Astyanax mexicanus: one gene and its partners. The protein of the gene in region 2 binds, or shares a complex with, the protein of the main gene of each other region. Links are inferred from orthologs where the notes say so. Each region holds a gene or a part of one and is shown on either strand. Other genes may lie near its edges.

The links. Proteins that work in one complex are often made in the same cells at the same time.
Region 1: the proteins of nup205 (region 2) and nup107 are in contact, whole or in part, in a cryo-EM structure (PDB 7WB4), measured with the Xenopus laevis proteins. The link is inferred for Astyanax mexicanus from reciprocal best matches to the Homo sapiens genes NUP205 and NUP107. Residues at the interface, in XP_041443600.1 of Xenopus laevis: Gly1247, Gln1248, Arg1249, Pro1250, Ser1458, Arg1506, Gln1507, Leu1983, His1991, Gln1995; in NP_001091312.1 of Xenopus laevis: Gln134, Glu136, Pro189, Tyr282, Tyr283, Gln770, Ser772, Phe773, Thr774.
Region 3: nup205 (region 2) and nup188 share a complex: the UniProt entries of both Homo sapiens proteins name them as parts of the nuclear pore complex. The link is inferred for Astyanax mexicanus from reciprocal best matches to the Homo sapiens genes NUP205 and NUP188.
Region 4: the proteins of nup205 (region 2) and nup85 are in contact, whole or in part, in a cryo-EM structure (PDB 7TDZ), measured with the Xenopus laevis proteins. The link is inferred for Astyanax mexicanus from reciprocal best matches to the Homo sapiens genes NUP205 and NUP85. Residues at the interface, in XP_041443600.1 of Xenopus laevis: Glu1477, Cys1480, Arg1481, Cys1484, Asp1485, Ser1517, Gly1518, Tyr1519, Leu1520, Lys1521, Val1522, Val1524, Asp1525, Ser1574, Gly1575, Gln1582, Gln1638, Gly1641, Gln1642, Gln1645, Val1648, Leu1690, Asp1691, Ile1692, Gly1693, Leu1694, Asn1695, Asp1696, Gly1697, Ser1698; in XP_041431608.1 of Xenopus laevis: Ala86, Glu87, Glu88, Ala89, Ser90, Gly91, Lys92, Ser93, Arg94, Lys95, Pro156, Pro239, Met240, Gly245, Thr246, Gln247, Thr248, Leu249, Thr250, Glu251, Phe252, Glu253, Leu254, Lys255, Trp256, Gln257, His258, Trp259, Pro315.

The regions. Positions count from the first base shown.
Region 1 is NC_064409.1:23,503,001-23,510,781, forward strand, and holds the start of nup107 (nuclear pore complex protein Nup107), read right to left. Parts: upstream 3,017-7,781; 5' UTR 2,921-3,016; coding exon 2,913-2,920; intron 344-2,912; coding exon 255-343; intron 1-254. UniProt on the Homo sapiens protein: Plays a role in the nuclear pore complex (NPC) assembly and/or maintenance. Required for the assembly of peripheral proteins into the NPC. May anchor NUP62 to the NPC. Involved in nephrogenesis.
Region 2 is NC_064416.1:18,026,261-18,033,979, reverse strand, and holds the start of nup205 (nuclear pore complex protein Nup205), read right to left. Parts: upstream 3,011-7,719; 5' UTR 2,934-3,010; coding exon 2,906-2,933; intron 175-2,905; coding exon 32-174; intron 1-31. Other genes in the region: protein FAM107B, read right to left, coding at 6,693-6,812, 7,439-7,595. UniProt on the Homo sapiens protein: Plays a role in the nuclear pore complex (NPC) assembly and/or maintenance. May anchor NUP62 and other nucleoporins, but not NUP153 and TPR, to the NPC.
Region 3 is NC_064424.1:26,879,661-26,886,752, reverse strand, and holds the start of nup188 (nucleoporin NUP188), read left to right. Parts: upstream 1-4,076; 5' UTR 4,077-4,150; coding exon 4,151-4,176; intron 4,177-5,638; coding exon 5,639-5,693; intron 5,694-6,172; coding exon 6,173-6,246; intron 6,247-6,455; coding exon 6,456-6,540; intron 6,541-6,983; coding exon 6,984-7,092. Other genes in the region: dolk (dolichol kinase), read right to left, coding at 1-60. UniProt on the Homo sapiens protein: Component of the nuclear pore complex (NPC), a complex required for the trafficking across the nuclear envelope. Required for proper protein transport into the nucleus.
Region 4 is NC_064410.1:17,649,901-17,657,672, reverse strand, and holds the start of nup85 (nuclear pore complex protein Nup85), read right to left. Parts: upstream 3,017-7,772; 5' UTR 2,618-3,016; intron 2,569-2,617; exon of another isoform or gene 2,479-2,568; intron 1-2,478. Other genes in the region: sumo2b (small ubiquitin-related modifier 2), read left to right, coding at 6,819-6,839. UniProt on the Homo sapiens protein: Essential component of the nuclear pore complex (NPC) that seems to be required for NPC assembly and maintenance. As part of the NPC Nup107-160 subcomplex plays a role in RNA export and in tethering NUP96/Nup98 and NUP153 to the nucleus.

The DNA.
Region 1 (7,781 bases), on a different chromosome or scaffold from region 2:
TAAGTGAGGTTGGGGAAGTGATGGTGTAAAGAATTGAAACACACAAAGCAAACTTAAAGTCTTGCAAGACACATTTAACACCTGATGAGAAATATTGAGACGAGGGTTCATGGCAGAGGTTTGACTGCATGAGCTCTGGAGGATAAGAGATTTATACAAAATCTAACCAAGTGGAAAAATAAAGCAAGTGGTCACTTCAGCTGCAGGCTCTGCAATCTGAGCAGCCAAAGTCCAGTAAATTTAGGTAAGGATACAGGCCACCTTTTTGTGTGAGCTTTTCCTGCGTGCGGCTCGAGTCACCTCCGAGTCTCGAACAACAGGAGAGTTCAACCAGTTCTGGCTCCTACAAGAAAACAACAGGGAAAATACATAAGCATTTGGATCTGCAAATTATTATCGAATATATTACTAATATAATGCATATGGTGGCAACATCAATATTACACTGAACTGTACAGATTTTAAGATCTAAAAAGCATCTCAAAAGCAAAAAATGGATCAAATCATAACTCTCTTGACCAGTTCACATGATCTTAACACCCTGATTTAAGGAAACAGGTCCTAGCACTCCCAAGCTGCCAAAAATATTTTTACTTACAGGGTCTATGTATTGGCAAACAAAACTTCTCTATTTTTGATGAATGCTATTTCCAGTATGCTCTACAGTAACAGTGTTCAAATTTGAATATGCACAATCCTCACTGCTGTCCATATAAATGACTTTGCAGCCTTATATAAAATCTGTTGCAAGGTCTGTTCAATTTTATGTAAGGTTGTACCAAAGTGAACATTTTTGGATAAAACCAAACCAAAACAAACAATACCAAAATTATCAATTGGTCAAAGAACAAATAAATAAATAAAACATTTATTCACAGGTTTTAATTAATTAATTAAATTGTCTGAATATATTTTGTCCTAAATTTACAACTTAAAAATATTTATTAAAATTTTACACTCAGAAAAAAATATTCAGGCTTATTCAGCTGAACACCTAAAGAGTTTTGTATTTTGCCATTTTTGGCTAAAATATTCATTTTAAATCCAAAACCAAAATGTCAAATGTCAATTACAGAACAAATTAAATACATAAAAAAGTGTGATACAGGCTTTTAATTAAAAGTCAAAAGCAATAACAAACCTAAAATTTACGAATATGTATGAACACTGTTGTAGAAAAGAAAATGAAAGGTGGGTCAACACCTCCCTCTCGACCGGGGTACAACTCCCCTGCGTGTTCGTTTGATAGAGAGAGTCAGACAGGTGGAGTGAAGTTGAAAGCAAACCAAGTATTTATTACAAAGTACTGAATATTCAGGAGAACCCACACATGAAAGACCGTCTAACAGCCGTCCCAGCATAAGTTCTGACCCCCCTCTGATCTGACTCCATGTTTTATACCCCAAATGACGTGAAACCTGCTGATGAGGCGTTGCTAACGATTAGCTCATGTTAATATGCATAATTTCACGTGTTAGTACTCAAGTTTCACAGGTCTGACCGGACCACTAGTGTTTGGCCTTGACTGTGTTCTTCCAGAATGGAACATCGTGGCACTATCTGTGTGAGTGTGCGTCACCCCCCTCTTTGAAGCCGCTGCAGGTTCCCCCACACACAGAAGGCCGCTTTGATCTAAAAGCCTCCTCTGTAGAAATGTAGTCTCTTACCGAGTGTACCAGTCGAGTTGATGACCGTTAGTTAGGGTCATGCAGTGAACGAAATGCTTCAAGCATGAGCTACGCAATAGTCACACAATAGATTTCATATGTTATATGTTAATGTGTTAGTAACGCGTGGTTAGTCCGCCATATAATAAATCCTATGTGTTAGTAAATGCCTTATGTATCATGTGGGTTAATTTGTCATATAATAGAGTCTGTGTTAGTCACATGCCTGATCAAACAATGTTTTACTATATATGTAAAGAATATATTGTGATTATTGGTTAATCTTCTATATAATTGCGTGTAAAATACACTGTGAGTAAAAATGATCAAATGTAAGGTGAGTATTGGTTAATGCATATAAAATACAAGGTTTCACACAATGATTATGTAATTATAGATACTAAGATAAGTAATCATAACTGAAAGATATTTGTCAATACACCCAAAGTATAATAAACAGTTACTCTTCAACACTTAAGCACTTAACATTTTTAACATCCCAGCAGATATGTCCACAATGCACAACAAAAACACTGAAAGTGTTTCTGTTTTGTGTCATTTTTGGCCAAATTAGCCATTTAATTTCCCCAACATCAGGTGAATCCCTACATGTTTCTGTTTGTATATCAAACGAGAATCAGGTATAGGCCCTTTAACTTGCATATAATAATAGAATGAGGAGTCACTTATTCCACTTAACTAATAACGTTACATCTATTCTGATCCTCTCGCTGTAAAGATTTAACATTAATAAAGTCACAGAATATTAAATTAGTTATACACCAAACTCTACTCAATCACTATATATGAAACAATTATTTACAATCAGTGGAATATAAGTTATAGAAAACTCAACTTTAATCTAAACTATCTGTAACTGACAGCTTCTTCTATAAAGCTGAAATTACTGCTCTGTGCTGTAGTTCTGTAGTGCTACAGATTTTAGGTGGATACAGACCCCTTCACAGCACAGCTGCAGTACAGGAGTAAAACATGCAGACTGATAAATAAGTAAACAAATAAACAGTGATGATTAGTCTGAGCTCAGACCCACAGTACAGTACAGTCAATTAGGCTAGTTAGCTTAGCACTGCATGCTAATCGCTAACAGTTAAGTTAACTTGGTACTGGTGCAGAAGCTCAGCCTGTACAGTGGTTGTAATCTAAGTTTGAGAGGCGAAATATTAATAAATCTGATTAATAATAATATCAGCGCTGTTAATCACTGATTATTGATTCATTTACCAATCCATGCTGAGCTCGTGCCGCGGGATTTGCGCCTTCTCTGTTTCTTCCTCTCCTTCACCGCTTTTACTCCAACCTGCTCCCGCTCTCTGCTGCCCCCAGCGGCCCCCAGCTCAACCCCACTGAAAACCTATGGAATGTAATCAAGAGGAAGATGGATGGATGATCACAAACCATCAACCCAAGCTGAACTGCTGGAATTTTTGAGCCATTTTTGAGTGGCATAAAGCATAAAGTCGCCCAAAGGCAGTGTGAAAGACTTGTGGCGAGAATGCCAACACACATTAAAGCTGTAATTATGGTTATTCTACAAATTATTGATTCTGAACTTTTCCTTAGATAAAACTTTAGCATTGTTACTGTTTCTAAATAAATATGAACTTCTGTAAGGTTTGAAAGATCTGCGTCTTTTTCGTTATTTTAACCATTTCCCATTTTCTGCAAATAAATTACAATATTTTTATTTGGAATTTGGAAGAAATGTCATCAATAGTTTATATAATAAAACCACAATGTTCATTTTATTCAAACATAAACCTGTAGAAAACAAAATCAGAAAAACTGATTACTTTGAAGTGGTCTCTTAATTTTTTTTTTTCCAGAGCGCTCTCTCTCTCTCTCTCTCTCTCTCTCTATACACACACACACATAGTGGTGTCAATCGATTAAAAAAAATCCGATTAATCACAACAAAATTCTGTAATTAACTTATATGAGAGAGTATATGAGAGAGAGAGAACTCTAACCAGGTCTGAGCTGGAAGTCTGAACCGGAGTGTTACTGCTGGACACCGTATGACTGTTCAGTCGTTCAGCCAGAAAACAGATCAGTGTGCTGGGCAGGGGCGGGGCAGATTATGGCGGAAGTAGGAGTCGAACTTGGCGCCTTAATTAACTTGCGTTAAAAAACGCGTTATTGATTACAAATTAACAGCGTGCGTTAACGTTGACACCCCTAATATATATATATATATATATATATATATATATATATATATTTTTGCGGCCCGTTTCCTTTTATGGAGCGGCCCGCGAGGTGTTTTAGAAATAGAATGAAAGTTGGCCCGCTGTTAAGCAGGTTTTTATAATGTGAGAACCTAAGTTTGAACGCTAGGTGTCAGAAACGGGCCAAAGAGTCTAAAAGCAGAGAGAGTGAAGTTTTAGCGCAGAAAAACAGGGCAAAGAGTCTAAAAGTGGAGAGGGTGCGCGTTTCTAGCGCAGAAAAACGGGGCAAAAGAGTCTAAAAGCGGAAAGAGTGTGCATTTCAAGCACAGAAAAACGGGGCAAAAGAGTCTAAAAGCGGAGAGAGTGCGCATTTTTAGCGCAGAAAAAACAGGCCAAAGAGTCTAAAAGCGGAGAGGGTGCGCATTTCTAGCGCAGAAAAACGGGGCAAAGAGTCTAAAAGCGGAGAGGGTGCGCATTTCTGGCGCAGAAAAATGGGGCAAAGAGTCTAAAAGCGGAGAGAGTGCGCATTTCTAGCGCAGAAAAAACAGTCCAAAGAGTCTAAAAGTGGAGAGAGTGCGCATTTCTAGCGCAGAAAAATGGGGCAAAGAGTCTAAAAGCGGAGAGAGTGCAAATTTCAAGCGCAGAAAAACGGGGCCAAAGAGTCTAAAAGCGGAGAGGGTGCGCATTTCTAGCGCAGAAAACCAGGCCAAAGAGTCTAAAAGTTGCCGTAATTAAGGAGTTTAATTTTAAGAGAAATCAAGAAATTAAACATCAATTTAAAAAATCTTAGTTTACACAACACTGTCAAATATAAAGATAGTAAGTCAAGTAAAATGGTGTGTAAATGAAATAATCAGGAAAAAAGTATTATTTAAAGTGGTATATTTCATTATTTGTTTTATTACGGAGTGTGGCAAGTGACTTCAAATATATTTCTCCTTCTGGCCCCCAACAAAAAAAGTTTGAACACCCCTGAGTTAGGATGTTGAATGATCACCACCCTACCTAATCCCCAACTCCTTAACTTATCCCATCTATTAGTATTAGATGGAGCTCCATCATTCCAGAGAACACAGTTCCACTGCTCCACAGATCAATACTAGGGGCTTTATACCCTCTAGCCCACACCTGATATTAGGCATTAAACTTGATCAAATAACTTATGTTAATGTTGTCTAATCTAAACATTTTTATAATGTTTTTTGTTACCTGGGGACCCTCTAACCCTGTGAACAGAAGCTGATCTTGAACTGGATTTGTGAGAATAGTAGGATTTACCACATAGTTGGATCCAGGATCAGTGTGTGGATCAAACTCATTCAGATTTAGTTCACAAACAGCACAATGCCAGCTCACCAGGGCACCCAGACACACAACTGTTCTATATAACACTGCTATTCAGAAATGAGAGCCTCTCACTGGAATTTAACAGAGTGCTCAGACACAAGAGGGCGCTCAGGTATGAGATTTAGGCCTCTGTGCTGGTGGAGCTGTTGAATGAATTAGTAATGTGTAAATATTTCCCTAAGCTTCTGTGCATTTTAATACATAATTACTGTTCATGTGCTGAATTTAACCTATTAGAATCTTTGCACATGCCAGATTTTACAGTATTTCATATTTTAATCATTTGTTCAATTCAACAAATAAACAGTAATTGTGTATTGAAATGCACAGAAGTGTGTCACCGTAGAGGATTTGTTCAGTTATTATATCATCAATACAACAGTGTGTACTTTGTGCACACCATATGGACAAACGTATTGGGACATTTTATATCTGGATGTGGGAATATTGCATACTAATGTTCCCAGAATATTATCTGAACCTTATTTACAATGATAGTTTAACATCCTAGGAACATTCTTAGTCAGAACATTCAAAATTACATTCTTAAAAAGTTCCATTTTGGTTGTGGGAATGTTGCATGTCATTGTACTTGCAACAGATTAATGTCCAGTATTCTTAATGTTCCCAGAATGTCTTTCTAAAGTTATTTTACCCCAACCTTACTTGCAATGGCAATTTATTGTCCTAGAAATGCTGTATTGTACTAGGAATGTTGTACCTCAGAATGTTTTCAAAACATTTTAAATTACATTCTCAGAATGTTCCTCCAACATTCCACTTTGTTTGTGGGACTGCTCCATGTTAATGTAATCTAAACTACAATTAGCTTAGCTTTGTAGAATGTTACCTCGTAACATTCCCAAAATGTTTTTCCAAAGTTATGAGAACGTTCCCAGAAAGTCACCTCAACGTGTCATTTACAATGACAATCTATTGTTCAAGGAATTGGATTATACTTGGACATTTTCAGACCATTTCTGAGAACATTCTGAGAACATTTAAAGACATTTCCAGAATATTCTCCTAATGTTCCATTTTGGTTGTGGGAAGGTTGCTACTTTTTTTCCTAATAAGAACGTCTTTCCAAAATTATGAAAATGTTCACTAACCTTCACAACTGAATGTTTAAGGAATGTTCTAAAAAACTTTCTGAGAACATTTAAAATAATATTTTCATGCCATTGTGAATGTCTTTTCTTGGATACTTTTGCCAGGGTTTAAGCACTGCATTCCAGGAACACCCCACAAGACCTGCTTGATGTTCTGGAAATGTTCTGACCCAGGCATTGTCTAGAACTTTAAAGTTTAGTTTTTGTTAAAGTGTCTCAGATTCTTACGCTTGTCCATTTTTCCTGCTTTAACACATCCACTTTAAGAACAAACTGTTCCCGCCTAATATATACAGTGGGTACGGAAAGTATTCAGACCCCTTTAAAATTTTCACTCTTTGTTTCTTTGCAGCCATTTTACTTTATTTTCATTAATGTACACTCAGCACCCCACCTTGATAGAAAGAAATTTAGACATTTTTGCAAATTTATTAAAAAAGAAAATCTGAAATATTACATGGTCATAAGTATTCAGACCCTTTGCTCAAGATTGAGTAAAGGCACCCTTTTGAGCTAGAACAGCCATGAGACTTTTCGGGAATGATCTAACAAGTTTTTAACACCTGGATTTGGGGATCCTCTGCCATTCATCCTTGCAGATCTTCTCAAGTTTTTACAATTTCAGGTCTCTGTCTCTCCAGAGATGCTCAATTGGGTTTAGGTCATCAAGAATGGTCACAGAGCTGTTCCGAAGCCACTCCTTTGTTATTTAAGGTGTGTGCTTAGGGTCATTGTCTTGTTGGAAGGTGAACCTTCGGCCCAGAGGACTCTGGAAGATGTTTTCCTTGTACTTGGCTGCCTTCATCTGCAACCAGTTATCCTGTACATGTAGCTGAAAAACACCTTCATAGCATAATACTGCCACCACCATGTTTCGCTGTTGGGGTTCTATTGGGCAGGTGAGGAGTAGTGCCTGGTTTTCTCCACACATACCACTGCATCCCTGGAGCTCAGCCACAGTGATCTTTGGGTTCTTCTTTACCTCTTTCACCAAGGCTCTTCTCCAATGATTGCTCAGTTTGGCTGGACAGCCAGGTCTAGGAACAGTTCTGGTCTTCCTAAACGTCTTCCATACAAGGATTATGGAGGCCACTGTACTCTTAGGAACCTTGAATACGGCCAAAATTCTTTTGTAACTTTGGCCAGATCTGTGCCTCGCCACAATTTTGTCTCTGAGCTCCTTAGGCAGTTCCTTCGGCCTAATGATTTTCATTTGCTCTGACTGCACTGTGAGCTGTGAGGTCTTATATAGACAGGTGTGTGCCTTTCCTCATCAAGTCCAATTAGTTTAACTGAACACATCTGGACTCCAATGAAGAAGAGACATCTCTAGTAAGATCAGAAGAAATGTTAAATATGAGTGTCACAGCAAAGTGACATTTTAGTTTTTCTTTTTTAATAAATTAGCGAAAAACACTGGTAGTGTTTTTAATGTTATAGCTGATTGGTATCATACATTTATATTT
Region 2 (7,719 bases):
CTAAGGGAAAATCTTCAACACTGTACTGTACCGGGTTTTTGAACAAAGACAGAAAGTAGGGCTTGTTTTTTTTCAACTGCAAATCCAGAAGATGAACACTTTCTGGTTGTTTCCTCCATATTGAGCCCTCCACAGTCTCCCATAACTCTTTCAGTGGACCCCACAGACTGGCTCCTGCACAGGAAATACATCCACACAAGCCGTAAACCAACATGTAACAACACTTTCTCAGTTATACTGTAAGAATACCACAAAAGAAAGGTCTCTAATACACAATAGGCATAGCAAGCACAACTTCACAGAGCTAAACAAAGTGTATACTGTTACAAATTCTACAGGTATTTATTTAGCAGATGAATAAATAAAAAACAAAAACAATAATCCTATATGACTTAAAAAAAGATTACTAAATAGTGGACTAATAAAGAATTACAGAAATACACTTTGGGAATGTGTGCCTTATCAAGTCAAGGCCTTTAACTGCTTTATACTAAACAAAATTCTGCATTACATATACTATGGCATAATTCATGCATTATATAAATCACACAACATACACACACTCTTCTAGTCAGTCTGCTAGAATCTAAGAAAGGTAACCAACTGCCCAATAACTTTGTTAAAATTACTGTAAAAACATTAGTAGACATCAAGCATTTCCTGAAGCTACTAAATATTTTTTCATTTTTCTCTCATAATCTATCTGTCTGTTCTCTCAATTTAGCAGTTTATTACCTCAATTTAACAAACTGTTTCTTTAATTTAAAAACATTCCCTCAATTTTACAGTTTCTTTAAATTAACAAACAATTCCTTCAATTTAATAAACTGTTCCTTTAATTTAACAGTTCCTTCAGTTTAACAAACAGTTTCCTCAATTTAACAAATTGTTCCCTCAATTTAACAAATCGTTCCCTCAATTTAACAATTCCTTCAATTTAACAAACTGTTCCCTCAATTTAACAATTCCTTCAATTTAACAAACAGTTTCCTCAATTAAACACAGTTTCCTCCATTTAGCAAACAGTTCCCTCAATTTAACAAATCATTCCCTCAATTTAACAAACCGTTCCCTCAATTTAACAATTCCTTCAATTTACAAACTGTTCCCTCAAATTAACAAACAGTTCCCTCAATTTAACAAAAAGTTCTCAAATTAACAAACAGTTCCCTCAATTTAACAAACGGTTCCCTCAATTTAACAAAAAGTTCTCAAATTAACAAACAGTTCCCTCAATTTAACAAACGGTTCCCTCAATTTAACAAAAAGTTCTCAAATTAACAAACAGTTCCCTCAATTTAACAAACGGTTCCCTCAATTTAACAAAAAGTTCTCAAATTAACAAACAGTTCCCTCAATTTAACAAAAAGTCCCCTCAATTTAAACCATTTCTTTAATTTAACAGTTGCCTCAATTTACCAAAAACTGTTCCCTCAATTTAAAAAAAGTTACTTCAATTTAACAAACTTTCCCTTAATTATACACAGTTTCTTCAATTTAACAAACTGTTCCCTTAGTTTGTGAGTTTAACAAACGGTTTCTTCAATTTACCACAGCTTCTTTAATTTAACAGTTGCCTCAATTCTACAAACCTTACATTCAATTCTACAGTTTCTTCAATTTAACAAACTGTTCCTCTCTATTTAACAAACAGTTCCATCAAATTAACAAACCTTTCCCTCAGTTTAACAAACAATTCCCTTCTCCAAATTATATTAAAACATTCTCTCCCTTTAGTGATGTTCGTCTTTAACTGAATAATCTATTAGTTTAGAAAGGGTACTTTGGTTTCTCCAAAAACTATTTTTCCATCCTTATATTTAGGGACTTACTGTTTCAGATTTGCAGGCCTGTAACGCTAACCTAGGTCATTTAACTATTCTGTAGTGGAATAATGAAAACAATTAGCATTAGCTACAATTAGTTTAATTCTGAGGCCAGAGAGTTCTGTCGATTCCTGCTCACAACAAAATCACCTGTTATATTAAACCAGATGATGGTGTTTAAAAAGTTATCTGGGTGCTGTTAGACGCAGACTCAGTTCTCTGAACTTTGAGCATTATTTAGTTAACTAAGAGCGAAAGTATTTTTTACACCAGACTGAGCCAAGCTAAGCTTGCGTTAGTAACCAGCCGCCAGATATATCTAGGCTATATTCAGGGGGTTGCTGTTAACAAAAGCCGGGGAATTCTGTTAGTTTAGACGTGGATAGAGGTGAGTATAATAGGCGTGTTGGTGAATAACTGTGTTTATTTGACTGTAGGAGGCTGATAATTATGAGAACAGCGCTGTTTAACAGCTTAACAGCTAACCCCGGTGTTCTGTCGAGTTGTGCTACCCTGTAAAACCGTGCTACCCTTTTTAGTATAACTTATTTAAACGTAAAAATGCCAAAAAGGCACAAAATTATAACATGTTCACAGCAGAAGTCGATGTAACGTTACTTTTTTTGAACAGCATAATTCACTGTATCAGTGTAAAGTTATGGTAATGTGAGTTTTTTATAATCTTGCTTGTGTTTTTTATAATCTTTTATTATTATTATTATTATTATTATTATTACTTGCAAATACACTTGTGTAGTGACAGTGAGTACTGGTTGTTAAATACACAACAAAAACAGAATTATTATAAAACACACGAGAAATCATTAAAAAGATGTAGGTTAACGCATGCGCAGTCTCTTTAGGAGGCTTGTATAGCTGGGTAGCATAACTCGACACAACACCGGGTAATGGAACCAAACTGAACTCAAGAAACAGGCAGAACTGCCTTCATATGCAGCTTCAGTCGCTCATGAATCTCCCTAAACCGATCCCACAGCTTTACAGACTGTTATAATAAACAAACTACAAACACACACAGCCCTGAGGAGTGTTGAATAACCAGCACATGAGCTCCGTACCTGAATTTACCGCCATCTGCGCAGCCATGTCTGCTCCACCACCACCAGCCCAGCCGCAGCCTCCCGGCTTATCGCCAGACTGAAAATTATATACGGTTTCGGATCACTGCGTGCCAAGCAGGAGATGGTTCTATACTTTAAACTCTCTATTCTTTTTTAAACATGCTCAATTACACCTTCTTAAAAATAAGTGTGAAACAAATTATAGTTTTTCGAAATCGATTTTCTCTCAGGCGATTAACCGGGAGTCCAAGTGTCGAAATGGCGGTTTGTAGTTTTAAGAGGATTTTGAAGTTAATTTTGTAAATTAATCTCAAACTGAATTAATTTTAATCACCTTCATGTTCAGTTTCCAATAAATGTAATATTAAACACTCATCTTCAGACTACAGTTTAATTTACTGGACAAAATTGAGCTTCTGCTAGATCGAAGCAAATTAAACGACTGATTCATCTATTTGACTCACTGAGTCATTGATGTGAATCCAATATGAATCTTTTCTGAATACAGGCTTGTGTAGGGTCACAAATAGTATTTATGGCATTATAAATGATAAATGATTATGTCCCAACTAATTATTATTTGACACTAGTTAAGACATTATTAAACATTATTAAATTATTTAAAATGTATTGCTTATTTTTAAAATAATTATTAATAATTATTTAAAAAAATGTAATGATGAGTAATGTCTTAACTAGTGTCAGATAATAATTGTTTGAGGCATTCCGTCATAAGTACTGTTAATTTAGGTACCCTTATTGTGTTACCCAATTTTTGGTTAGTACACCATGCCTTTAATATTTCACACACAATCTCCAAACAGTGCAATAAACATGATAAAAAGTTATGTAAATGACATAAAATCTGTTAAAATTAGTTTATCATACTTTTTCACTGGCTCTAGTGCTGCCAATCCCTAATGTCTGGGTTGCGGTGTTTTTTCCAGTGCAGTGGGCGGGGCTGCTGTTTCATTGGGTTGTAAACCTTTTCTTTGGCTGATTAATGGTCTATTTTGATGGACAACAGGTCTACAAAAAAATAAAATATTGGATGTCTATTGTTATGCACGCAGGGTTTGAAAGGGTTATGTATGTTATAAATAACATATAATATATAAATAACTTTAAATGTTTTTGTATTCTTGCTCTAAAACATCTGATGCAAATGATATGTTTATTATAAAAGACAAAATAAATAAAATTGTTTAGGACTCTCAAGCTCCCATATAACATATGAAATATATTATACATGCCATAAAGGTTTAATACTTAAAAGATCTGTACTTTAAATAAGCCATAGACCTAAGATAAGTAAATACATATCAATACAGTACCAGCCAAACGTTTGAACACACCTTCTCATTCAATGTTTTTCTTTAATTAATTTTCTACATTGTTGATTAATATTACAGACATCAAAACAGTGAGATGGGTAAAAAGCAGCAACTATTGTTCAGCACTTCCAAAAACTCCTTCAAGACACTGAGAAAACTATTCCAGGTGACTCTCCCTCATAAAGACGTGAGAGTAAAATACAAAGTGTGCAGATCTGTCCTCAAAGATAAATGTGCTACTTAGAAGAATCCATAATCTAGAAGTATAAATATACTAGCTGTAATGTTTTCAATATTAAATTTACAATGTAAAAAAATAATAATAAACACATTGAATGAAAAGAGGTGTGTCCAAACTTTTGACTGGTACTGTATATTATGAACACCATTAATTAATCCAGCCAAGTTTCATTTATGTGTCAAAGTAAGTGCATTAACAAGACTCGTTTCTGTGAAAGTGAAACTGAAGAATGCAGTAAAAAGAAGCATTGAGAAGATAAAGCCATAAACAATAGATGTATTAAAATTTTACATCATTGAAAGGGAACATTTTTTAACCTTCATATTTACATCTTTATGGAAGAGTTGGATAAGGCATATTTACTTAAGTAGTCTAATAATCAAAAGAACATTAGATGGATTCTGAAGTGGGTATCGTCTCTGATTGCAGCACTGTGGAACTTACACAATGGTGCCACCTAGGGTATTTAAAAAGCACTTTTTGACAAGCATCCAAAAGGAAGGTTTAGCAACTACAAGTTAAACATTTCTCTTCTGTTCACGAGACATGTTTAGTGTCCAAAGGTCTACTTCTTCTGCAGTACTGGCTCAGCAGTTAAAGTACTAAGATGTTGCTCACCGGCTTGTGGTCCTAAGCTACTCACTGCTGGGCTTCTATACATGACATATAATTGTCCTTTTTAATTACTTAAATTATTAAAGTTAACACAAATGAGAAATTTGGTACCGCTTAAGCTGATAAAAAGAACGGTTGAGATACACAATACACAAAGTTAACTGAGCTGATTCAATAGAGCTATACTGACTGCAGTTGCCAAATTGTTGTAGTTACATATGGTCACCTTAAGACTGTCTTATATTTTGATGGTGCAACCTTGATGAGACAATAAACCTTTTCCTTTAACTCTATTTGCATACTGGGTATGTCTTTCCCCACTTTTACTTACCATCAAGGTGTAGTCATTCCCCCCCGGCTCCCTTACCTGTGGTGCTGCTGCCTGGCCTCAGTTTTGAAGGCTGTAAGGGCAATTTAAGACTTACTCTACTGTTGAAAGTGGCTTTATGTTGGCTGAATGCTTTACGTGATGCAGAATTATGGTTACCTGACAGATTTGTATCAGTACATGTACTGGACTCCAGCCTCTGTTTAGGTTTTACTGTTTATATTCAGGTCTTTGTGAATGATCTGAGTGGGTGGAAATAAGACAAACATCACATCATCAACATGACAAAATAATATTTATTAAAAGAAGTTTTTCTGAATTAAAGGGAGCACGAGTGGTTGGGCATTGGCTCAAATCTATACATTAGACTGTGAGTCTTCAATACTGAACTAACAAAAAATGCATTTCTTTCCTAGACCTTCCTGATTGCACTCAACAATTACTACTCAGGTGTGGAAAAAAATACAAGAGTGCCTCAACACAGTGTTCTACACCATTGCAACTAAACTGTATTTATAACAAATTTATTTGTAAAAAAAGAAAAACAAAAATATTCAAAAACACACCAACCTAGTTCTAGTATTGCTTAAAATAGATGTAGCTTAGAAGGAGTGCACAGATATGAAGATTAAAACAACAAAATAAAGCAAACATCTGTACATCACAGCCAAAGGTTGAACTGTTGAGAATCCATATTCATATTTTTTTCTTTCTTTTTTTCTGATCATCAACCAAAAGGAGGGTATAAAGTCCTCATAAAACCCCTCATCATCAGCATCATTCCAAGGCAAAACTGAAAAAAACAAACACTTATTTAGGCTTGCACAAGTCCATCCAGTGTCCCTCTAAACTTGAATTTCTGAAAATAAGTTAAAAAAGAAAACAAGAAACAGCAGAAAAAATAAAAATAAAGATAAGCTAAAGAAAGAGAGAGATAGAAAACGAATTGGAAAAACTCTGCGTGTGTTCTGTCCGTCCTGCCATGTAAGTCCACCAAAGCCCGCCATCCAGCCAACCAGCCAGTGACGGGGAGACTGTGCCTTTGTGTCTGAGTGCGCATTTTTCATTTCAATCCCTCTGTTTGCTGCCGGTGTTTAGGGGTTAGGGTAAGTGAATACTGGTCGTGTCTGCAGGTCGGCAATAGGAACCATTCACGGTTTTCACAGGAACACAGGGAGCAGGAACACCAGGGAATCCCCACAAATCTGCAGTCCGGTTGCCATGCTTTCATGTGCCATGGACTCGTTTAAACCCCCCATAGTGTGTCTAGGTGGTGCGCTCCTGTTCGTCCACCTCCTGCTTGGTTCTTCTTAGATTGCTCTTCATTTTAACAAATTCCGGGGTGTTCTCCTGCTCCTCCTCATTCTTCTGCTGCTCCAACTCCAGCTACAGACACAAATACACAGAAAGATGTTTTACAGTCTGAACATCTGCATGTTGGGTTTCTTGGTTGTAGTTTGTGTTATGCATTGTGGAAAAAGGGGTTCACCCAGGAAGTAACCCCATCTACTGTACTACTTCAATAAGAGCGCTAAGAACTTTCACTAGACTGTGACACCCGACAATCCAGACACACTCTGCACTGCTGTCACAATAAAACTCCAAAAATGGCAACTTTAAATGAGAAAAAGAAAAAAAATGGAAGTCTTTCTAAAATAATTTTTAAACATTTTTATTGGATTATTTATCATGAAAAACCTACAAATTTTGAGATACAAGGTTCTTTAAAATAGCAACAGAATGTACACTGAAATGCATAAAGTCATGGGATATTAAATGAGGTGTACACTTGTGTGCTCATGGGAACGCAAAAGTGTATTTGTTTTGCCAAGATCTATTTGTAGTTTAAAAGTTTAGTAGTAGACTAGTGGTAGATCTCCATGCAGTATGCTGGAATGTCAGACTGCCTGTAGAATTGACGCAAGAACATTTTTGATTTATACTCATTTATAACACTGTAACATAAAGGATAAAGTAAAACAGTTTGTTCCAGTGATCTGGCGTGTATGTACCTGTTCAAGTTTTTGTTGTCTCTTCATGAGCTCAATTTCCAAATCTGATTGCTTCTTATGAGCTTCCTGCTCTTCCTTCTGAGCTTTCAGCACCTGGTCTCTCTTCCTCTTCTCCATCACTTTCTGCAGCTCGGGCTTGTTCTGAGGTGCCAGGCCCCTGCAGAGAGGAAACAGGCCACACACACATAGGATTTATGAGAAAACTCATACACATGGATTAGGTCAAAACAGGCAGATGCAGGCCTAAAATCCATGACAGCAGCTATGACGTTGAGTAGCAT
Region 3 (7,092 bases), on a different chromosome or scaffold from region 2:
CACACACAGCACAATGGAAAAGACCACCATGGACTCCACCAAGACCGGGTCTGTCTGCATGATTGTGCGATATGGGTGTGCGTACTAGAATTGGAGAAGTTTCCTAGGACTTCCTAGAATGTAGCACTTGCTTCAAGACTTTGCAGCTTTTAGATCTGTCAAAGTCTCATTTGTTTAGAGTTCAGCATCCCCAGTGCATTCCGCTCCACCTTCTACCAGCATTCAGGACCTGAAAGAGACACATCAAAACAGATCTCTGGTTAGAACCACACAAACCATTCCCTTTAGCATGTTAGCAGCTTTAGCTTGTAATGATGTAAATGGTGTAAAATGCAATCTTCAGGCTAGCATTTTTTAAATGTATTAACGATCTACAGTTAAATTTACACTTATCATTCCTGTAAGCCAGTTATCAATTATCAATTATTATGCTTTAGCATGTTTTTGTAACAGGTCTTGTGTAAAAAAAATTGCTAATGAATTTGCAGCTAGCATAGCATTAGCAACATTTATATCATCTTTAATCATTGTGAAACTGAGTCTTTAGGCAGAGAGCCTTCAGGAGCAGGCAGATTGACAGAGTCAGGCGTGACAATCGTAGTATAAGCTGAAGTAACATATTTCCATGTAAATATAATGTTGGACAATATAGACTTAATTTTAAAATCACAACATATGTCTTAATTTCAGTCAAAAATATATAATTCCGATATCAATATGAACAGCATAAAAGCCAAGGTCATTAGTGTACACAATCACGCAATGATTAAGCTGGGCGATATGGCAAAATATTATGTCACAGTATTAAAAGATAATCTTATGATGCATAGTATTTATCGTGTTTTGATTGAATTGCTGAAAAAATGCACCAGGAGTGGCAGATTCTTAAAAAACTTTATTGAAACCAGCAACTTTACAGGAGAGGAAAAACCTTCTAAACTTTTAATGGAAGTCAATGTAAAAAGAGTATATTCCAGGTCATCTGAAGAGTTTCTATTGGTCCGTTCATCAAGAAATTTTGGCACGGTATAAGGGGCAGTTTGTCTGATCAAATTATGTAGTAAACTAAAAATCAACAAAAATTGATTGTGTTTTTCATTGGACAGCGGCGATATTCAGATACTTTTTCATGCAGAGTACAGTGATTTATGTACAATTTCTGCTGCACATGATTCAATTTACCAGTATATTTACACTCTCTGTAATGAAATGTGCAGTTGTTCTTTAATCAAGGGATCATTGTCTTAAAACAGTGATGATAGCCTCTAAAGAAGGATATATTTATCACAGTACAATTTACTGTAAATGTAAGTTTTGCATACAACAGTAAATAATTTACTACAGGTCTTAAAGGCTAGATTTTATATCATAATGTAGTTTTACTTTTTTTTAGCAGCTAGCTTAGCACTGACAGCCTCTATAAAAATATATCATGTTAAGACCCACATTCTTTCATTCCCATTCAATTTTAATATGTGGGAATGTGTGATACAACAGTGGCAGTTCTGTGGTTCAGCAATGCCTGTAACCATCACTGCTCCCTGGTTACTTAATATCACAATATAACTCGATAGTTATACTTGCGTAACAAAATTTTCTTTATCATTTTTATTACAGGTTATATTATAAGAGGAGTCACGCAGTACAAATACTTTGTTACCTTACTTTTGAAATTTGGATTATCTATACTTTACTGGAGTAATTATTTTTCATATGTATATGAAAAATCATTTGTATATTATCATAATAGGTTATTAAGTTTCCTTTTCATTGTTGTCAATAGTCTTTCAATAAGTGAAAATTTACAGCAGCATGTTAGCAGCTAGCTTAGCTATAGTAAACACTGCTGTTCCTATTACTTCGGAGGTCATAAGTCATGAGTTGGTACCAATCCACTTAAAATTTAAATAATTACACTATTGTACACTATTTATACCACGCTATCTCATTGCTAACGTTTTGATTGACCAGGCCCTATAATTTACCCAGTTCTGTGCCTAATCTGCACCCTAATTTTGGGTTTTTTTAAGCCTACATTATCAGGGAAAACCAACAGGAAGTTGTTGTAACGATCAGGCAGATACCAAACTCAGATGACTCAACTCTGAACTGTAGCAGCTGAACTTTAGCACAGTTACCGGAGCACATTTAGAACTCCAGATTTGAGGTCTAAAAGCTCTGAATCTGTTTGTTATTTCACATGAGGGCTGGGAGGTTAATCTAATTCATTTGATTAATCGAATTACTGTTTTAAAGGGATTTTCAAAATGGGTTAATCAAGATATCCTTAATTAATAAAGCTGCCAGAGGGAATCTCAGTAGATAGAAATTTGCTTATGTCAGAAACCTTTAAAGAACTCTTTTACGTGGCAGTAATTTTCCTATTTTACACTTTTCCTTAATTGAAATACCAGGACGATATGTTGTCACTTTGTTTAAAATATAAAAGCTGCATAAATGAAATTATTTATATATATATATATATATATATATATATATATATATATATATATATATATATATATATATATATATATATGAAATTTAGCTTGAGCATCACTTTAAATTGTACTGTCTGTTTAAAAATAAAACAACTGAAGTTGTTATGTAAAAGAAAAAAATCGAGAGTAAGAAATAAAAAAATTGTTCAAATACTTGAAGAATATCAAGATTATTATAACTATTTTTTACAATATCGCTCAGCCCTAATTATAGTACAGTCTGTGCAAACACAGTGCTATAGTATTACACTGTAATTAATAATACATTAGTTTGGAGTAACAGGCAGAAAAGGTCTTCTGAGGATTTCTCTAGCCTACCTTAACGTTTTGACAAACCTTCAACTCAAAAAAATCACAGGGGCACATCAAATACTAAAAAAAAAACATACATCTGAATGGTTATAGATTAGTTATTGCTAAACAAAATACAGCTCTGGAAATAATAAGAGACCACTTAAAATGATGAGTTTTTACCAAATTTAAAAACTCTGGAATATAATCAAGAGGAAGATGGATGATCACAAGCCATCAAACCAAGCCGACCTGCTTGATTTTTTGCACCAGAAGTGGCATAAATTTATTCAAAAGCAGTGTGTAAGACTGGTGGAGGAGAACATGCCAAGATGCATGAAAACTGTGATTAAAAACCACAGTTATTCCACCAAATACTGATCCCTGAACTCCTAACATTTTTAAGAGTGTTTTCTTTGCATTATTCAGAATTATTCAGAAACTGAAGTGGTCTCTTAATTTTTACTAGACATTTTAGCTAAATAGATACTAAACAGACTGGCTATGCCTTAGCTAGCTGGTGGATCCATTCACCCAACACTGTGCATACATTTGGAATGGCAAATCTTTGGGCAGTGGACCATTTTACATTAAAACAGTGTTTTGGATAACACTGTTCACATTTTACACTAAGACTAAACCATACAGACGTATTGATAAACAATTGGAGTTCTCCTTTAAGGTGATTAGCTTTGCGTATAAATACAGTATCCAATACAAGGGCAGGTTAGCACCCAGTCATGCCCACATGCTGTATAAAGCTGCAGATACATAAAGATGGATATGAGCAGAAACCTGCTGAATATGAAACATGGATTTCGGGATACAAAAAAAAAAAACGAACCAGACTGATCAGTCTGATTGATCTGATCAGTGGCCGAGAGGTGGTGAACAGCCTTTGTTGGGGCCATTATGATGATCTGCCCCTCTGGAAGCAGCAGCAGAACCTCCACGAAGGACAAGAAGCGAGAACATCCACATCATACAGATACAGATCATACAGAGACAAACACGACCAGCCTTACCGGAGACCCGAGGGGAGAGGATCTGTCCGCGTTTCACCGCTACCGAGATCTTTGCTGATGATATGTGATCGATGTCGAGCTCCGAACACGGGTGGGGGGGCGGCCATATTTGACAGCTGGGTCACGTGGGATGAAGCATTATTATTATTATTTTTTTGTTTTATTTGGAAAACACTTTTAACAATTTAAAAATTATTAATATCACCAGACAAATTATATTTATAGGGGTTTCGATTTAATAATATTAATATTTTTCAAAACATCACGAAATTTAACGAATAATGTCACGTGAGCAAACGCCGCGCTCTCATTGGTCACAGTACGGCGGCGAAGATGGCGGAGTCGGAGATGTGTGCGAGGTAAATGAAAGAAACATTAACTTTTAGTGTTTAAATTAATTAAATATAAGCTGTTAACATTTTCATTCAAGTTGTTTAATCATATACGGTTTATTCACAGGCAAGCGAGGAGCGGAGAGCGCTCTGTTCTTCATTTTAACGCTTTTTTTTAGGTTAATAGTCAGGGACGCGGTGGGAGCATGTTGTTATGTGGCCGCGCTGAAATAACGTTAGCATGAATGCTAAAAGCGGCGTCTGTGTTAATAGAACAATATAAAACACGAATTAAACAGATTTAAGAGTTAAGACAAGCCTTTTAGGACTTTACACGACTAAAAAAAACCAAGGCAGTGTACTCCGGAGGCGTTGTTTAAACTGTGCGGATAGTTTATATCTTTCTGAGTTGGGTTGGCTGAGTAGCAGCGCTGATAACTTCACTAACTTCTGATTTTGGCGCTTTAAACCCTCAGCTAGGCTCAGGGCTTCACAGCCGGGCTGAAACACTGTGGTAAACATTGAGAAACAACATAATATGATGAGGTTTTGATTGTGGTAGCTTATCCAGCAGTGCTGGTGAATACAACCGGTGCTCTGTCGATTTGTGCTGCCTTGTCAATTCATGCTAACTAACACAATACATATTTATAGGTTATGCTGCCTCAATAAACCAGCAGGTAGGGTAGTTTAGCCAAATGTGTGACTAGAGTAGCACTGCTGAGGTAAATGCACTGTGCTGTGTTGGCATGTCAATAAATGTTCTATAAATTATAAACTATTTATTGGAAATCAAGGCAAAAATACACACGGTCTATAATGGTAAAGTGTCAAATAAAATAATAAAAACCCGAGGAAAATGTTTAATTTCGTTGCATCCCTAGTTAATACTAATATTCATAATAAATAAAGATTTGTGATGCTTTAGAGACGTGTATACTGCCTGTTTACAAATCACAAAAACAATATTGTCATTTTAATGTTTTACACCATGTTTAATACAAAACCTGCATGTAGTTTTGTATAAAAAAAGAAATAAAATAAATAATTAGAATTTAAATGTAAATGAAACAATAATTTGGTGTTTGTTTAAAAATAAAGTTATGTAAGAACTAAAAATTGTAATCGAGAATCACTCATATATTTAAATAATATTTTTTTTCAATATTGCCCAGCTCTAGTTTCAGTAGATCTATGTTTTTTAACGCGTTAATTTAAAAAAAGGTTTTCAAGTTTAAAAATGTTTTCAAACTATGACTTGTTTGTGTAGAAATCAGTTCGCTAAATAAATGTACAACTACAAAATGTGAAAATAATTCTTAGGAGACACATTTAATTTAGAATACATTAAAGTACATAAGCAGTTAAGTGTCCAGATTGTACAAACTGTACTAAGTGTTTTAAGTGAGTTACCATCTACATGGCACACTGAAAGCTGAAGTGTTTCACTGAGAATAAATTTATATACAGACTGTGTTTTGATTTGTAGGAGTAGTCGGGAGTTGTGGACCATCTTACTTGGAAGATCTGCTTTGCGGGAACCGGTAACTTAAATTTTTATGAACATTTATTTACATATACATTTATCATACCAAAAAAAAAAAAACAATTGTTTAGATTGAAAATCACTCATTTAGTTCCACTGGCACGTGTCAACATATTAAGCAGCAAGTGACGACCAGTTTTTGAAGACGATGTGTTGAAGCAGGAAAAAATGTAAAGAAAAAGTGTAAGAATCCTAAGGGCCAGATTGTGATGAGTACATGATTTAGGTCAGTACATTTTAAAAAGCAGCAAGGTATTTAGGATTTGCATTGGTCAGTACTTACTAAAAGTGCTTCAAGGAAAGACAAGTTCATGGGTGTTTATGGCTCATAGATGTTCATGAAGGTTACATAAAGGATCTTCTGCAATACACAATATTTAAGAGTAAATATAATATTGTGTCTGATGTGTGTTCGTGTGTGTCTGGCATTTTGTTAATTAAACCATCTTATTTTTCCTCTGCTGTATGATATAAAAGGCCCAGATAGAAGCAGAATTGGAGAGAAATGGAGAACGGCTGCTGCAGGGCCTTTCCTACTACAAACCACCTAGGTAAGCAAATGCAAGCCCACATTGTTTATTATAATACACAGGTTGGTAGACAGATATAGATCATTATTAATACTCAAATAATCTTTTTAATATTCCGTAAGTAGACATTTGTTTTGCATAGGCCTGTTAGTTATGTTTATTTTTTTTTAGCTGTGGTCAGTCAGTAGTTATGTATTTTAATTAGTGAAACACTGTTTTTTTCTGTTCAGTTCTTCATCAGCAGACAAGCTGAAAGTGAATAAAGATGTGGCTCAAACTCTTAAAGACTTTGCACTTCGCATCAGCAAATTACTGGTAAGTAAAGCAACTTCTTTTGCACCATAATGACACTATACTACAATGCAGTATACAGAAGAGTGATGAGGAAGAGCTCAGTTTAAAGTTGCATATAGACCAGGTGCCTGAATTATGACCATTTGTCTCATTTGAGGAAGGTTGTGAAAATAAATTATATTTTTGTTTTTTTAAAGAAGCCAGTGCTTAATTCAGTATTTGCTCCAGTAAAACTGATCATTCTGAATCTATTACAGTATATATGTGTAAACTATGTAGTAAAATGTGAGTGCTTTTTAAAAGCGGCACAATACAGAACAGTAAAAGGATATTCTAAAGGATAAAAAGGGTTTAAAAAATTGTTGTATGAAATTATGCTTTGACTATTGTGGTATGTGAGTGGAATTCAGAGAATAGTGTAAAATATGTGACCTTTAATAAATGAGTGTGTCTGTTTGCCCCAGGGTCTTGATGAACAGCAGAGTGTGCAGATTCTGCAGTGTTACCTGCAAGAGGACTACAGAGGGACTCGTAACACACTAAAGACAGTACTGCAGGATGAGAGACAGAGCC
Region 4 (7,772 bases), on a different chromosome or scaffold from region 2:
TTTTACCCTCCATCACAGTCGTCTGACGCTTTGTGCTATTCTGTTGCTGCATTTAATTTGATCGCTTCAGAAAAGACCACTGGTGGACGCAACCAACTCAAACATTTGGGAGAGGAGAATTCCCTCAGATGGTTAAACCCGACGTAGGGGCTGTGTTGTCAGACGAATAGAGAGTGCATAGTTGAATGGCAATGAATGCAAGAATAAGATTAGAGAAGTGAGGGTAAATAATTTTTTTCCGTCCAACCGGCCCAAACTCGCCCCGGCCCATCGGGAATCCTCCCGATTAGCCACTCCGGGCTTGTTTAAATAATTTATTAATTCAATATAATAATAATTATATCAATATAATAATAATAATAATAATAATAATAATAATAATAATAATAATAATAATATCAAATTATATTAATAATAATAATAGTAATAATAAAAGTGTGTGTGTGTGTGCAGTTTTAAAAAAATCTACAAAATATTCAGAATGCTAACTAAAATAGAATATGTCAAAATAATGTCAATATTATTATTATTATTATTATTATTATTATTATTATTATTATTATTATTATTATTATTATTATTATTATTATTATTACCATTATCCTATATTAGACTGTACTATTTATTTTATTAAAAATGTTTATTCTTTAAATTAATAAAATATTTCAGTTACTGTCACCAAGAACATTATTATAAACACACCCTGTAGCTAAATGGCCTACAAAGTACTACAGTATATTAAGCTAACTAAAATAGAATATGTCAACATCTAATAATACGTACTTGTAACTTTCTGACAGGTAATATTCTCACTCTAATGGTAACCTAATCCTAATCAAATATTATATACAGTTATCTTTCACTAGTGGCATCAAATATTTTCTAAGGTGATGTTATCGTAAAACAGTACTGAGGGAGCTGTGCTGAGCTGTGAAATGGTAAATTCATGTGCGTTGTGTCTGACCCGTGTGTGTAAACCTGTGTAAGGAGAATGAAAATTAAGATTTGTGCAAAAGAAACACTCATTCATAAATTCGTCAATTAAATTCTGAACGACGGAATTAATGCGTTGCTAAAATATATCATAGAACCACAGCCATACTTGAAGTAGCATAGAAAATGAATGTGGCTCATTTTAGACCCACGCTGCCCGTTTGAGCGGCAGCGATACAAAAAGGGCTTTTATTTAAAAAGTAAGAAAGCAAAAAATAATATAAGGATGTACCATGATCAAAAACAATTTAATTAAGGAATACCTTGAATACTGAATGATTCGGAATATTACGATCTCATAGTGAACAGTTTTTTTTTTTAAGAGTGACCCTAAAACGTATAGAATCTCTACACAGATCTGCTAAATGTGTTGCTGGATTTTGTGTGTCCGGTTGATTTCCTAATTTCTCAATTTATGCATTCATTCTGTATGCTGTGGTGGTCTCTGTATTGCGCGTTTTATTAAAATCCCCAATGCCTTCGAGAGAGAGTGTGTGTGTGTGTGTGTGTTGGCTGGCTCAGGTCTTGCGGCATCAGACAAATTAAACATGATTACTAAATAGGCCAGCAATGAAAGAGTTGATAAAAAATAAGTACATTTGATTACATTTTGTTATGTTTTAATCAGGGACTACATTTTGCAAAGCCCAGTTTAGCCAGAAATACATGAATCTAGCACATCTAATAACACAGCAGACATTTGAAGCACTTGGGGGCTTTTATTTTAACAGGAGATATAGTTCCCTGACAGAGTCAGAGGGCTGAACTGCTTGGAGAAGGAGGGGATATGTATATTCTGTCCGTTTTTGCATATGGAACGCCTGGAGGCGTTATGAAAACGCGTGGTGGCGTTATGTAAGCGCCTGGCGCCGCCACACGCTCTTAAACGCCTGGCGGCGCCTCGCGTTTGTTCCAAGGCGTAAAAGTAAGCCCTGCACGGCGTTTTGGACGGCGTTTTTTAAGTATTTCGCACGCTTTAAGCGCCGTCAGACCCAGGCGAATTCTGACCCATTTGGCTTGCCATATTACAGTGATATGATCAGCCCACCTTTAAACAGTAGTTACAAGCCTTTAAATCATTAACACAATATCCAAACACTTTAAACTACACTAAAGAGCACGTGCTGTTATTTTGTGTGAAACTTAAGTTTAGAGTTTGATCTGTTAATTCACTTCTTAACCAGCATCCAAAAATATTAAACTCCCGTTAAAATTAACCATCTTTCTTTAGAGAAAAATCACTAGGACCTCAGAGTCAATAAACTAGTAGATTTATTTAGCACTAACTTAGCCAGTTTAGCTTAGCTTAGCCAAGGTGATCCGTTGAGTTCTGCTAAAATCGATATGGGCTGCTCAGCAGCTGTTAGAATTCATACATTTACAGCCTTTAAAGTTTTCAGGTGTTTTTCATTATAATTCACTTTTTCCTTGGTACATTATACAATCTGAGCCTACTGACAAGGCAACACAAAGCCACAGACCTACCTAGCCAACATATTAGCGCCCATTCCACCATTAGAGATATTTACATTTTCCATTTAGAACTGTGCACAAGTTGTTATTGCTAGCTATCAGTCAAAATGGCAGATGACAGACATGCTGAATGAGGAGTCCAGCCACTTACTGGAATAGGAATGGGAGTTCTAGTAACCCTCAACCCCAGCTGCTTTATGGATAAGTCTCGCCCTTCAACAAAAAGAGCCAATCAGCTTGCTGGATGTGCCAGAGCAGAGGAGGGTGATCTGTGCAACTGCAGTAGCCAGAACAATCTGAAAAATTATGTTTTTTGTGCATTGTTGAGCCAAACGCTACAAACTGTTCATGAGGTTTGTATCAGATTTTATCAGTGATGTCAAATCTGTTTTTTGTATCAAGACTGGGTCCTTGACAGAAAAAATATCAACGTGCTGTAAAGGCTAAAAGTACCACAGCATAAGAGACTCTAACCTCACACAAATCTAAACTACCTCACACACCTAAAACCCACCCTCACATCCTAACCTCACAAACACCTAAACTACTTCACACACCCTAACCTGTTACACCTAACACACACTCTAACCTCACACACCCTAACCACTTACACCTAAAAAAACACACCCTAACCTCACACACCTTAACCACTTACACCTAAAAAACACACACCCTAACCTCACACACCTTAACCACTTACACCTAAAAAACACACACTCTAACCTCACACACCCTAACCACTTACACCTAAAAAACACACACCCTAACCTCACACACCTTAACCACTTACACCTAAAAAACACACACTCTAACCTCACACACCCTAACCACTTACACCTAAAAAACACACACTAACCTCACACACCCTAACCCTTTACACCTTAAAAACAAACACCCTAACCTCACACACCTTAACCACTTACACCTAAAAAACACACACACCCTAACCTCACACAAATCTAAACTACCTCACACACCTAAAACCCACCCTCACATCCTAACCTCACAAACACCTAAACTACTTCACACACCCTAACCTGTTACACCTAAAAAACACACACTCTAACCTCACACACCCTAACCACTTACACCTAAAAAACACACACTCTAACCTCACACACCCTAACCACTTACACCTAAAAAACACACACTCTAACCTCACACACCCTAACCACTTACACCTAAAAAACACACACTCTGACCTCACACACCCTAACCACTTACACCTAAAAAACACACACTCTAACCTCACACACCCTCACACACCCTAACCACTTAAACCTAAAAAACACACACCCTAACCTCACACACCTTAACCACTTACACCTAAAAAACACACACACCCTAACCTCACACAAATCTAAATTACCTCACACACCTAAAACCCACCCTCACATCCTAACCTCACAAACACCTAAACTACTTCACACACCCTAACCTGTTACACCTAAAAAACACACACTCTAACCTCACACACCCTAACCACTTACACCTAAAAAACACACACTCTAACCTCACACACCCTAACCACTTACACCTAAAAAACACACACCCTAACCTCACACACCCTAACCACTTACACCTAAAAAAAACACACCCTAACCTCACACACCCTAACCCTTTACACCTAAAAAACACACACCCTAACCTCACACACCTAAACCACTTACACCTAAAAAACACACACTCTAACCTCACACACCCTAACCTTTTACACCTAAAAAACACACACCCTAACCTCACACACACCTAAACTACCTTACACACCCTAACCACTTACACCTAAAAAACACACACCCTAACCTCACACACCCTAACCACTTACACCTAAAAAACACACACCTAAACTACCTTACACACCCTAACCACTTACACCTGAAAGACACACACCTAAACTACCTTACACACCCTAACCACTTACACCTGAAACACACACACACCCTAACCTCACACACACCTAAACTACCTCACACAACCTAACCTTACAAACACCTAAAAAATACACTCCCTAAACTCTTAAACCTAAAAAAAACACACACCCTAACCTCACACACACCTAAACTACCTCACACACCCTGACCTCTTACACCTAAAAAAAAACACACACCCTAACCTCACACACACCTAAACTACCTCACACACCCTGACCTCTTACACCTAAAAAAAACACACACCCTAACCTCACACACACCTAAACTTCCTCACACACCTAAACCTCTCCCATCTTAACCTCCCCTTACACACTTAAACACCCTCTCACATCTAAATTTCCCCTCACACACATATAAACCACCCCTGACACCTAACCCCCTCTCACACACATAACCCATTCCTCTTACACACATAAACCATCCCTTATACACACCTAAATCCCCAACACACATCTAACCACTCCTAACAGTGACCACAACCCCCTCATGCACCTAAACCACTCTTAACAGACCTAACTCCCCGCACACACCTAAACCACTCCTAACAGACCTAAATCCCCGCACACACCTAAACCACTCCTAACAGACCTAACTCCCCGCACATACCTAAACCACTCCTAACAGACCTAAATCCCCGCACACACCTAAACCACTCTTAACAGACCTAACTCCCCGCACACACCTAAACCACACACACTTTAACGACCTTACATACCTAAACCACCCCTAACACACACCTGCACCACCCAACACACCTAAACCTTACACACCTGAACCCCACTAACACCCCCCTAAATCCACTAACATACCTAAACTAAACCAGACACATCTAAACCACACACCCAAACCACAACCCCCTCACACATCTAAACCACACACCTAACACACTGCTAAAACAGACCAAAACCCCCTCACACATCTAAACCACACCAACACACAAAAAGCCCACAGTTAAACCATCTTACACACATGAACCTCACACTTATCTAAACCACCCCCACACATAAACATCCCACACCTAAACCACCCTTCACGCAAACAATAACCTCACACACTCCTAAATCATACATAAAACCTCACACACCTAAACCACCACCCTCCACACTCTAACCACCTTACACACCTAAACCACCCCTCACACAAACAGTAACCTCACACACCTAAACCTCAGATGCACCTAAACCAGCCACCTCCACACTTTAACCCCCTCACACACACCTACATCACACCTAACACACAAACCTACACTTAAATGACCCCTAACACACAAATTTCACATGCCTAAACCACCCCACATACCTACTAAACCTCACACGCCTAGACCCCCTCACACACTTAAACCACCCCTCACACGCACCAAACACACTACCTCACACACCTAAAACCCACTCTCACATCCTAACCTCTTACACCTAAAAATAACACACACCTAAACTACCTCACACACCCTAACCTTTTATACCTTAAAATATACCCTAGCCTCACAAACACCACCTAAACTACCTAACACACCTACAAAAACACACACCTTAACTACCTCACACACCCTAATCTCTTACACCTAAAAAACACACACCTAAACTTCCTCACACACACCTAAACTACCTCACACACCCTAATCTCTTACACCTAAAAAACACACACCCTAACCTCACATACATCTAAACTTCCTCACACACTCACACCCTAACCTCACAAACACCTAAACTACCTTACACACCCTAACCTTACAAACACCTAAACCACACACACGTAAACCTCACACACAAACCACCCCAATACACAAAAAGCCCACACAGTTAAACCACCTAACACATAAACCTCACACATACCTAAACCACCCCCACACAAACAGTAACCTCACACACATTTAAACCTCACACACTCCTAACACACACCTCAGCCTCACACACACATTTAAACCTCACACACTTAAACCACCCCCACACACACCTAAACCTCACACACATCTAAACCACCTTACACATCTAAACCTCACACACATAAACCTCTCTCTCACACACACCCACGTGTTCATTGCTCTCTATGATCATAAACGCGCAGTATTTTCAACATTTAACACGAATTTGCAGTAAATTCGTCTGAAAACATGGCGTGCGCGTGCACGAGCGATGCGCACCACCGACATTCTGTACAGGTTTCGCGCATTCGTGACGTCGCCGCTCGCGCCCCTCAGCAACCATCCTGCCGTACAGAGCGGGTGCGCGCACGTTCGCCCGTGGTCGCGCCCCAGCCGCTGTGGCTGTGAAACGAGGGGGTGTCGAGCGCGCGCACGAATGCTCTAGAATGGCGATGATGGGGGGAGGGGAGGGGAGGGTTGCGCGCGTACGAGCGCGTGTACGTGCGCGTGCACGGCGGGAGTCTCTTTGTGCGGGCGGCGAGAAATAACACACAATAACGATGGCGGACGAGAAGCCCAAGGTGAGAGAGAATTAAAATTAATATAATAACAATAATCATAAAATAATTCGCAAATCACACAGAAGATACGGCATGAAGGAAAAAGAAGAATAGAGTGATGGAGAATTAATGGAGAGTTTGTGTGTAGAATAATTCCGCGTAGTGGATAAATACTGCAACTGCTGTTGTAGAATCGCCGGAAGAGTCGTGAACGCGCATTTAGCACGTTAGCTAACATGCTAGCCAGCAGCGCGGGTTCAAGCAGCGTAATGAATGTACGGGTGCTGGTTCGGGTTTACAGCACAATTCTGTGAAATGCGGGAAAACACGGACCTTATTTAAGCGCTGATGTGTTAAGAGTAGTAGAGAGGTACAGTCTGAGAACTTGGGCTTTGTTTTTAAGCCGGTTTGAAGACTTTTATAGCAGAACAGCCGCCCAGCTGCGGGTCGGTGTCTGCAGGCTGCGCTGTGTGGAGCGCTGGAGTCTGGAGAAGTGGAACAGACTGAGAACATGTGTCGATTCTGAGCCAGATATTCACATTAACACCATCATCAGTCCTCCACGCGTCTGTGTGTATACACACTAACCAACCACACATCTGCTGCGATTAATCACGACATGTTTTCTTCATAACACTGAAACCTTTAATAAAAAGTTAAACACAGTAAGATTTTTACATACAATACCATTTAAAAGTAGCCAAATTCAGAAAGTCTACACACTCTTTGTAATTTAATCTGAGCTTTTTCCTGAGGTAGAGTCACCTGGGATAGTCTTCTTAACAACTTGAAGGAGATCCTAGAGGTGCTAAACAACCCCAAATCACCCTTCTTGTGGGGGCCAAACACGTTTGTTTTTACTGTTTACTACCTAATTCCAAATCTGTCCCTTAATTGTTTCTACAATGTAGAAAATAATTGAATTAAGTAAATAAAACTGTTAAAATAAGTGTG